Linked DNA regions of Saccharomyces cerevisiae S288C. The gene in region 2 interacts genetically with the main gene of each other region. Each region holds a gene or a part of one and is shown on either strand. Other genes may lie near its edges.

The links.
Region 1: mutations in LRE1 (region 2) and IRC19 together harm fitness more than expected from each alone (negative genetic interaction), as found in Saccharomyces cerevisiae (one large-scale study listed by BioGRID).
Region 3: mutations in LRE1 (region 2) and PMI40 together harm fitness more than expected from each alone (negative genetic interaction), as found in Saccharomyces cerevisiae (one large-scale study listed by BioGRID).

What each region holds. Positions count from the first base shown.
Region 1 is NC_001144.5:71,427-74,606, reverse strand, and holds IRC19 (Irc19p), read right to left. Parts: upstream 1,199-3,180; coding exon 506-1,198; downstream 1-505. Other genes in the region: YLL032C (uncharacterized protein), read left to right, coding at 1-337; putative AAA family ATPase RIX7, read left to right, coding at 1,461-3,180. UniProt on the Saccharomyces cerevisiae protein: Involved in sporulation and maintenance of the mitochondrial DNA. Is probably involved in a pathway contributing to genomic integrity.
Region 2 is NC_001135.5:33,865-37,623, reverse strand, and holds LRE1 (Lre1p), read right to left. Parts: upstream 1,760-3,759; coding exon 8-1,759; downstream 1-7. Other genes in the region: PBN1 (Pbn1p), read left to right, coding at 2,231-3,481; SPB1 (27S pre-rRNA (guanosine2922-2'-O)-methyltransferase), read right to left, coding at 3,650-3,759. UniProt on the Saccharomyces cerevisiae protein: Overexpression affects chitinase expression, cell separation and budding pattern, and increases trehalose accumulation and heat resistance by inhibiting protein kinase CBK1.
Region 3 is NC_001137.3:157,452-161,210, forward strand, and holds PMI40 (mannose-6-phosphate isomerase PMI40), read right to left. Parts: upstream 1,668-3,759; coding exon 1,637-1,667; intron 1,544-1,636; coding exon 285-1,543; downstream 1-284. Other genes in the region: NOP16 (Nop16p), read left to right, coding at 1-47; FMP52 (Fmp52p), read left to right, coding at 2,129-2,824; YND1 (apyrase), read left to right, coding at 3,099-3,759. UniProt on the Saccharomyces cerevisiae protein: Involved in the synthesis of the GDP-mannose and dolichol-phosphate-mannose required for a number of critical mannosyl transfer reactions.

The DNA.
Region 1 (3,180 bases), on a different chromosome or scaffold from region 2:
TAAAAAAATAATTAAAAAATTTGTTCTAGGGTCTGCCTCCAGCAAGAGTAACACCAGTAATAGCAATACCAATGGCAATTTCAGATCAATGAATAATGCCAAAAGTCGTACGACCATCGATAATACCAGCCAATCAGGAGCCTCACCACAACGCCACAAAATGCCTGTTATAACGACGGTAGGAGGAGCCCAAGCCATCAAAGGATATATACCAAACACTTATTACAACGGATATGGGTATGGATACGGATATACATACGAGTACGATTATAATTATGCCAACTCTAATAAAGCTCAAACCAATAATAGGCATAAATATCAAAATGGCAGAAAATGAGAAGGAAAAAAGTTCAGTAGTATTGTAACGTTCTACGCACCTTTTCAATGGATATGCACACCACAAAATATGTCATTGCGCATATCCGCATCTATTACAGTATTTGATTGATATTTTACCATACATACTAAAAAGCTCCGCTCCGCTCCTCTTTTACGATAATGATCTTTATAACCTTGTACCTAATGTCTCATTGAGATATATCAATGTTGTATCGAAATCACTAAATACTTTGAAAAGCGGAATCTTTTTCTTTTCGGTTTTATTTAGCTTAGTTAGCGGACTAGAAGTAGTTTTCAAATGAGAGAATTTGACGTCAAGCTCATCATGGCCTATTCCTCTATGCAAAATCGATCTGTACTTTTCATATTGCATTGTTAAAAGGTTCTTTAAAATTTGCCTGCAATATGTGTTGTCCCTTGCAATATCCCACTTTTGAACTTTTGTTTCGGGCAAGTATGAACAGCTCTTCAGAACAAATTCCAAGGTTCTTTGCATCTCAGTCACGGGGAGTATCCTTTCACAACATTTCGTGTTGCTGAGAAGCTCAAGATTGATTTTCGACCTCAAGCCATCAGGATTGAATACCAAGTATCGTTTGAGTTCGTAGTTTTCTTTCATAAACTTATATCGAACATAATCCCTGTAAGTATCTTTAACCATTTTCACATTCGATATGAAAGGCTTAAGCCTCATAAATCGGCGGTAAAATAGCTTAACAACTGTACTTCTCTCAGGTGAGTCTGCATCTAGCTTTTGAAAACGTGAAGGAAGTTGGTATTTAGAATGCGATTTAATAAGAGTATAGTCTGGAGTTATAATAGCTTTTGCTGTTGTTATCGTAATAGAAGGCTTACGCATTGTGTTATCCGCTTAACTGCGATTAACATGCATACGTATGATATACTCGAGCTAGTCTCATAAGCTTTCTTCATATATGGTTGTCATGGCAAACTTCGATGTTCGTCGATAGTGACAGGTTCCAAAATTTTTCATTCAGCTCATCGCATATTTTGGAAATTCAAACAATGATTAACAACCGATGTGTGAATTAATCTGCGAGTCAGTTAGAATAAAAGATCATTAGGGCCGATAATAGCTACGTGGTGGGAAGGCTGGAATAATGGTTAAAGTAAAGTCGAAAAAGAACTCATTAACAAGTTCTCTAGATAACAAGATCGTCGATCTTATCTATCGTCTCTTGGAAGAAAAAACTTTGGACAGAAAAAGGTCTCTGAGACAAGAATCCCAAGGAGAAGAGGGCGAGAACAACGAGGGTGAAGAAGATGAGGATATATTTGAATCCATGTTTTTCGCTAAAGATTTAACAGCAGGTGAGATTTTTACCTTTTGTTTGACTAAAGATTTATCACTTCAAAGAGTTAAGAAAGTTGTCTTACAAAAGACAATTGACCGCATGCTAAAAGACGTGATTGAATCAGAATTGGAAGAATTTGGTTCTTACCCAGGTTACAACAACGAAGAGGAAGAGAAACCAAGCTTGGAAGAAGAACTAGCTAAGAAAAATATGATGATTGAGCGAGACACAAATGAGATGAACAAACGCATAACTAGCACGTGGTCCAAATCTGGATCTGTTTCCGAGTCTATAACAGAAACTGATGATCCTAAGACAGAAGAGGTTAAAAAATCTAAAAAAAGATCCAAAGAAGGTACATGTAAGGTAAAACGTCAAAAAATCAAGGAAGATAGATCTCCACCTAATTCGTCTCTGAAATCCTTAGGTGGTATGGATGATGTCGTTGCACAACTTATGGAACTAATAGGTCTACCCATTCTTCATCCAGAGATATTTTTATCCACGGGTGTCGAACCACCTAGAGGTGTTCTGTTGCATGGCCCACCGGGTTGCGGTAAGACGTCGATTGCTAATGCGTTAGCTGGAGAATTACAAGTCCCATTTATATCTATTTCTGCACCTTCAGTCGTAAGTGGTATGTCTGGGGAAAGCGAGAAAAAGATTAGGGATTTGTTTGATGAAGCGAGAAGCTTGGCACCATGTCTTGTTTTCTTTGATGAAATAGATGCCATTACACCAAAACGTGATGGAGGAGCCCAAAGAGAAATGGAGAGAAGAATAGTTGCCCAATTATTGACCTCAATGGATGAATTAACGATGGAAAAGACAAATGGAAAACCTGTTATTATCATAGGTGCCACGAATAGACCTGACTCTTTGGATGCAGCATTGAGAAGAGCAGGTAGATTCGATAGAGAAATATGCCTGAATGTCCCGAATGAAGTCTCAAGGTTACATATTTTAAAGAAAATGTCTGATAACCTAAAAATTGATGGTGCTATCGATTTTGCCAAATTGGCAAAATTAACCCCAGGCTTTGTTGGCGCTGATTTAAAGGCTTTAGTTACTGCTGCCGGTACATGCGCTATTAAAAGAATTTTCCAAACCTATGCTAATATAAAATCCACACCAACTACGGCAACGGACAGTTCAGAAGATAACATGGAAATTGATGAAACAGCAAACGGAGATGAATCTAGCCTGAAGAACACTGCGAATATGATCGATCCGTTGCCTTTATCCGTAGTCCAACAATTTATTCGTAATTATCCTGAGCCTTTATCAGGAGAGCAGTTATCATTATTATCGATTAAGTACGAAGATTTTTTGAAAGCGTTGCCAACAATTCAACCAACAGCAAAGAGAGAAGGGTTCGCTACGGTACCTGATGTTACTTGGGCTAATGTAGGCGCATTGCAAAGAGTTAGACTTGAATTAAATATGGCTATTGTGCAACCCATCAAGAGACCAGAGCTTTATGAAAAAGTGGGAATTAGCGCCCCTGGTGGTGTTTTATTGTGGG
Region 2 (3,759 bases):
TGTTGTATTACTTCCTTGAAAAAATATGTCTAAAGAGTCCTAATTTGGATTTTCTTTTCCTCCTAACTTCACTGTCCTGCGCCTGCTTTCCTAACGCATCATCGCTAATACACCAGCTTTCATTGCTTGTTGCTGCGCTGTTGCTCGCATGGAACGTTTTCAGTGCGTCATCATCCTGGGATAAACTAAAGACTAAGTCACCAGTTTCATTTGAGGCTTTTCTCTGCGCGTTGACAAAAGAGGACAGATCAACCATATCACCTGGTTCACCCATGAGAATGTCCTTACTTAGTTGCGAATTGGTTCTGATCTGCCCTTCAGACTTGGAATATTCATTACTGTCATTACTTTTAAGCCTATTCATTTCTTCCTTGCCATCAGGCGTACAGGATTTGACCACAGAGTGTTGAAGGGGTGCATCGTCCGCTCTCGTAATAACCCCTCCGATACTATTTTCATTGTTGACACCGTTGACTGAAAAGGGCATGGACTGTGCATTAATGTTTTCATTTTTCATCATATCATCATATGGCATTTCATAATGTTGACTCTTGTAGTTGAAGATTGAGTTTATCGTGTTACTGTTTCGTCTACCTTTCATATTATCAATCAGGTTGCGGTGTTGCATGTGGGAGATAGGACTGCCCGATCTTCTTCTTCTCGATTCTCCACTAAAATCCTGTCTTTTATCGCTATCCAGCACACGATTAAGCTGTGAATTGCCGCACTTTTTAGGATAACCATCCTTGGCATATCTAGGGTTATCTTTTAGTGGAAAATTATCACTTTCTAAGTTAATGTCCGCATTGCTGTCATAAAAGGATACTGGTGTTGCGGGAGTAGATGCTAGTTTAGAAGGGGTATAGGCCAGGGAAGAAGGTGTCATTGCCTGATTGATTGTCATTGAAGCAGCCGACCTTTGTTCTTTTGGAGATTGCGAGTCACAGCCTACGGTCAAAGGTAGCTGCTTCGTATAATGATAATATCTTTGCTTTTGGCCTTTGATCTTCAACGAATTGAATGTGTTGGAATTCCGTGCATTGGCGTTTTGCATCCCATGGTTGTGATGGGTCGGTGACCCATTGAGAGCTGAATCATCTACATCAATGGCCTGTTCAGATACACAAAGGGAAGGCCGCAGTGGGGATAATAGTGCTGTTGGAAGCTTTTGCTCATAATATTCATTTTTCGATTCTGGTTCAATTAAGGAGTCCTCTTCTTCTTTAATCATAGAGTTAGAACCGGCTGCACAATTGCCCTTATCTACCATAACCTCCAAATCAGGAGGAGCGGATTCAGATCTTCTATGTGATTTAAATGACCTAGGCCTTGTCTTCAACGCATCGTCAAGGTTAATAATGGCATCTGGGACGCCTTTAACTGGCGATGAAAAACTTGGCTCTTCACTAATGAAAAATCGTGGACTTGGTGTTTGCAGATTGTTCTTTGGTGATAACGGATAAAATCTTGGTTCAGGCAAATCTAACGTTCCAGCGTCTTCATTGGTTTTGCAAGGAAATCTATTGTAGCGTATTGGCGATAATGTACTTGATACAGCAGTTGGGGCAGTTGAAGGACAATTTTCAGCCGCCTGTGGAGGTGGTAAATTCACAATTGCTGCAGGCTGTTTCAAAAAATCAAAATCTCCTGATATTGCTAGCGATCTGCGATGGCGGTGACCTCTTTTGGATGGTGTAGACAAAGTATTTACAGGATTTGGCTCTGATATTTGCACATGTTGAGTATGCGTATTGGGCATTTTCCTATTCTGAGAAGGAGTATGAAATAATTGCCGAGGGTTCAGAATGCTCTTTTAGAAATAAAAATGAATGTAAATAGTTGGAATGTATCTTTAAGTAGACAAATGCAGGTAAGTTTTAGTGGCCTTTGCGGATTAACAGTATGCTCTTAGTGCAAAACACGAAAAGAGCTCCCAATCTTTGAACACAATCGACCACGGAGGAACAATACACGTAGAAGGGGATAACTAAAACTTTGTCGTGCAAGAGTATTGGAGGACACACTAACAGCAGAACTTTGCCTTCTTAACTCTTGTTTATGATTGCTTGAAGTATTACACATGTAATAAAAGATGATTATTTTTTTTTTCCTAAAAAAAGTTCCTTTCTTTGAAGATCCCCCTGATAAAAAAGATCAAATAATGGAAACGCTAATCATAATCAAATCGGGAGGAGAATAAACGCAAGAAGTGTGCGTTTCTAGCTGAGTAATGGTGACAAGACATAGAGTGACTGTACTCTACAATGCCCCTGAGGATATCGGTAATCATATGCGCCAAAATGACACTCATTTGACTGTTCGTGGAGGTTCTGGTGTGGTTTTACAACAAAGGTGGCTATTAGAGAGGACTGGAAGCTTGGATAAATCCTTTACGAGAATCACTTGGAGGCCCAGAGCGGACTTGGCTAGAAGTTTAAGCGTTATAGAAAATGAACTGAGTGCTGGCTTTTCAGTTTACTCAAATTCTTCGGATGTGCCGGAAAGGTTTATTACTAACCCAGTCTACAATTCATTTCACAGTGAGAAGTTTGACATAGAGCAGTACTTGCCTCCCGAAGTAGATTTGAATCTGTCATGGAATCCAGAAGATTTTACATATGATATATCAGTGGAGCCCACACAAATCCAAATTGTTGAATATCGTCTGTTGAAACAGGGTGAAGAATTTACAATTGCAAGAGTGAAAGATGAGAAACTCGAAGTAGGTGTATTCTTTGTGGATGCAAGTGATGAAAGTGATGTCGATATTGGTGGAATACGTTGTAATTGGAGGATGGACGATGGTAAAATGGAAAGATGTCAGAAAACATCCTTATTGTATAAACAGGGCCATATCGCATACAATCACTCGACGACTACGACATCACTATATCTGAATGAACCTATCGGTTTGCATCCAAAAATCATGATTGATCTCACAGATTTCGAAGAACGCCCTAAATGCATGTATCTAATGCACCTGCAATTGCCGTTAGAATTATTTATCGATAAATTCCAATCCTCTCCCTTACTACTTTTTGGAGAAGACGACTTAGAATTACCAGAATACTCTCTTCGAGATAAGGCATGGGGTTCTGAAAGTATCTTTGAATTGAAAGCCGGCACAATGAATGAAGTGACATTGCATACTAGATATATTGAGCCTTCTAATAATAAAGGGGATAAATTAGAAGTTTCATTTGATCCAGAAGTTATATTAGCCTGCGACACAGGTGACAATAAAGTTTCCCGTAATCCATTTTATAAAAAAGGTCTAGGATATGAATCTCTCTTTACAGACGATACTACATTCCGCCATTTGAACTCGACAACTCTTCTAGTACCAATTCCAAGGCCTGACACAAAGGATTATTCCAAGATCAAAAATGGTACGTTACTATGCTTACTCATCTCCATCATATACATTTTCTCCAAGGTATTTGGTAACAACAAGAAGAAAAGATCAGTAAAACGGGAATAAAAATTGTTCTACTGTGCACTCGTATTTTCTGAATTCAAAACGATAGGTTTCCTATAAGTTTTTTGATGATAATTTGATTAATTCTATGTATACATAATATATCTATTGCTTTCTTTTCCTTTATTTTCAATATTATACAAGGGAATGGAAAAATAATGCTCTTTGTTACTACTTTTTCTTGTGATGCTTCTTTGCGATACGTCTTAGGGCTCTTTGTTCATTCTTCATGACACCATCAACCATCTTATACTTACCCTTAACGCCCTTTGGTCTACCTG
Region 3 (3,759 bases), on a different chromosome or scaffold from region 2:
GAAGGTTATTAAGGTGGAAAAAAAGAAACGGTATTGCATCAAAATAAACCAATGGCAACTACCAATTGATTACCACGTAATATTTATATATGTATCTATATATGTTTTTATGCATCAATATCAAGTGTTTTAGAGAACAGCAAATTATGTTTGATATTTCCATTCCACTATATTATAGAACGTGAGAAGCAAATAGAAAACTGTGAAATAAAGTAGACTTCAAATAAATAAGTATAATATTTTCTCTATTATAGATATAAGAAAATTAAGAAATAGAAAGAAAGCTAATTTGGTTCCACAAAGGCTCTATAGGTAGTAAACGCCTCATCTTCAGCTTCCAAATCAACAGGCAAATGTGGAGCGATGAAAAAGACAAAACCGGGTTCAGCTTTCAATTTTTGGCCATCTGCTTTAATGTAACCATTACCTTTTGTAGTGATTAAGATACTTGGACCATCAACACCTTCAAAATGCCTTTGACCAAGTTTCTCATCAAAAGTAGTCTCCAATACAGCAAATTCTTCGATTGGAGGGTTATATAAAACTGACTTACCGTTACCAGAGGACCTGTCGAACTTTAAAGGCTGCATTTTTTGCTTTTCCACAGGATCATATGTATAGGTTAACATGGAGACCAAGTTTTTAACATCCTTGAATTTTGGAGTGAAGCCTGCTCTAACTACGTTGTCAGAAGCAGCCATACATTCCATAATATCACCGCTTATATAGGCGTGAGGATCCTTAGCTCTTAAAAAGATGGCTTCACCAGCATTCAATCTGCAGTGATTCAACAATAAACATCCACAAAACAAACCCACGTCATCAGGGAACTGTTTATTCAGTCTTTGAATTAATTCTGGTAAATCAGGTTTGTTAAAGTCTGATGGAGAATTCTTTGATCTTTCGACCAAGGAGCGAGCTTGAATCTTGATTTTGTCATCCGAAGCGTTCATGACCCTGCTGAAAACAGCTTGCAATAGCTTTTTGTTTTGCTCATCTTCTGGGGAACCTTTCTGAGCAGAAGGTTGAATGTTCTCAATAAAATTCCTGGAAGTTTCTTCACCAACAATGTTGCGTAATTCAGGAATACGTTTCAATTCATCTGCAATCTCTTGCAAAGGTTTGAACCCGCAGAAACCTTCAAAGTCAGTCACAGCGATGGCCATTTCAGGTTTGTGATTATCATCAGGATAGTTCTTAGGATCTTGAGCGTGCAATATTTTACCCAAGGCTTTGTCGGGATGTGCTTGAATAGACAAGACTTTTTCAATGGACAAAACTTTGAAAAGGAAGGGCAATTCATTTGTGGCGTGGAACTTATCAATAATGTCCTTACCTAACATGGCAGAGGGGTTCTTGGAGATGATATCTCTCAGGGATTCCTTAGACTCATGGTTGTAGGAAGGCATCTTGCTGTGGGTACCCATCCATAACTCTGCATATGGTTTATCTTGTTCAATTTGAACAGAGGGGTCAGAATGGGCAGCAAATTGAGCGACAGCTGAAGAAGAGCCGATTTTACCCCAGTCGTATTGTTGGTAGCCTACATAGAGTCGTACGCGTTAGTTAGTGTACCAAAAAAAAAAAAAAAAAATACTCAAAGTATTCAAAATATTTGACGAAAAATGGCACATACCTGCATCTAACCTGAACAGCTTGTTGGACATGTTTTAAAATTTTCTGGTCTGATGTTCTTTACGTGTTTAGTGTTGAATGATTACAAGAAACAAACATTTTATACAGAAATATACTAAGATTGCGACGTGTATATTTAAATACGTAAATCGCGGCGAAAAAGGACACGGACGCGACAAAAAATTGCTACAATAACCAAGCAGCACGAAATGGATAGTGCACCACGAGACTTGGCATGATCAAAGTGCAAAAGAAAGCAGAATAACAAATTACTCCCGCAAAGTACTAGCTATATCAGGGAACGACTTTATTGGCATCTTGTTGTAGCAAGGTTTTCATGATTCTCATCCTTGCGCTTGTCGCGCGGCACGATGCCAGTGCGGAGTTTCCGCGATATGATGTAACTGCAGCTGTTGGTGGCGAACTTTGCATAAGATCGACCTCCTACTGATGAGAAAGATAGGATGGATTATATAGAAGAGCACAAGCAACGATGAATGGGTTGGTATTAGGCGCTACAGGTTTATGCGGAGGCGGGTTTCTGAGGCACGCACAGGAGGCACCCCAGTTCTCTAAGGTATACGCGATCTTGAGAAGGGAATTGCCCTTTCCGGCCACTGATAAAGTTGTGGCCATAGTAGAAAGGGATAATTCAAAGTGGTCACAATTGATCACCAATGAAATGAATCCGCAGGTGCTATTCACCGCACTGGCAACGACAAGGGCAGCTGCAGGCGGTTTGGACAAGCAATACAAGATCGATCATGATTTAAACTTACAATTGGCCCAGGCTGCCAAGGAAAAAGGATGTGAAACGATCGTTCTCGTTTCTTCCGCTGGTGCTCATCCGGACTCCAGGTTCGGCTACATGAAGATGAAGGGCGAGATTGAACGCGATGTTATCGCTCTTGATTTTAAGCACATTATAATTTTGCGCCCAGGCCCTCTCCTTGGTGAACGGACAAATTCTAAACAAAGCGGATTTGGCGGCAATCTGACTGCTGCTTTGGGCACTCGCGTGTACCGTTCTAGATTCCAGAGGTTGCTAGGCTATCCAGTTTATGGCGATGAGGTAGGAAAAGTTGGTGTTCATTTGGCGTTGAATACTTCTGGGAAAGACAAGGTTCAGTTTGTCTCCAGCAAGGACATTCTTGACATCTCAGCTTCTCTGGAGAAGATTGCTACCTAAATCAACCAACGGCTTCTTCTCGCAGCTACAGTTGTATTTTACTGTGACGTACTTTTGCGCGCGTACGGGTTCAATGAATTACGGATTTTCAACAACTTCACACAATCATAGCTTTTTTTACTTTTTCGCCTCATTATTTTCTTTAAAGAAACGATGATAAACAGAGATTTATCGTCATGTTATTTCGTTCGTATATATCGTATTTGCGTTTTAGCTGTATAAAGTAAAATACTATATCTAACGTGGCTTTTTTTATTTCCCCGTCTGCCCTCTTATGCTCATAGAAAACACTAATGATCGGTTTGGTATCGTCATAGATGCAGGGTCTTCGGGTTCGAGAATCCATGTGTTTAAGTGGCAGGACACGGAATCGCTTCTTCATGCAACAAACCAGGACTCACAGTCCATATTACAATCAGTACCTCATATTCATCAAGAAAAAGACTGGACTTTTAAGCTGAATCCAGGCTTGTCGAGTTTTGAAAAAAAACCTCAAGATGCGTACAAATCTCACATCAAGCCGTTACTAGATTTTGCTAAGAATATTATCCCTGAATCACATTGGTCGAGTTGTCCCGTTTTTATTCAAGCAACCGCGGGCATGCGCCTTTTACCTCAAGACATACAATCTTCCATTTTGGATGGTTTGTGTCAGGGGCTCAAACACCCTGCAGAATTTTTGGTTGAGGATTGCTCAGCACAAATTCAAGTCATTGATGGTGAAACCGAAGGTTTATATGGCTGGCTTGGCTTAAACTATCTATATGGACACTTTAATGACTATAATCCAGAGGTCTCTGACCATTTTACATTTGGGTTTATGGACATGGGCGGTGCCTCTACTCAGATTGCGTTTGCACCGCATGATTCAGGAGAAATAGCTAGACATAGAGATGACATCGCCACCATCTTCTTGAGGAGTGTTAACGGAGATT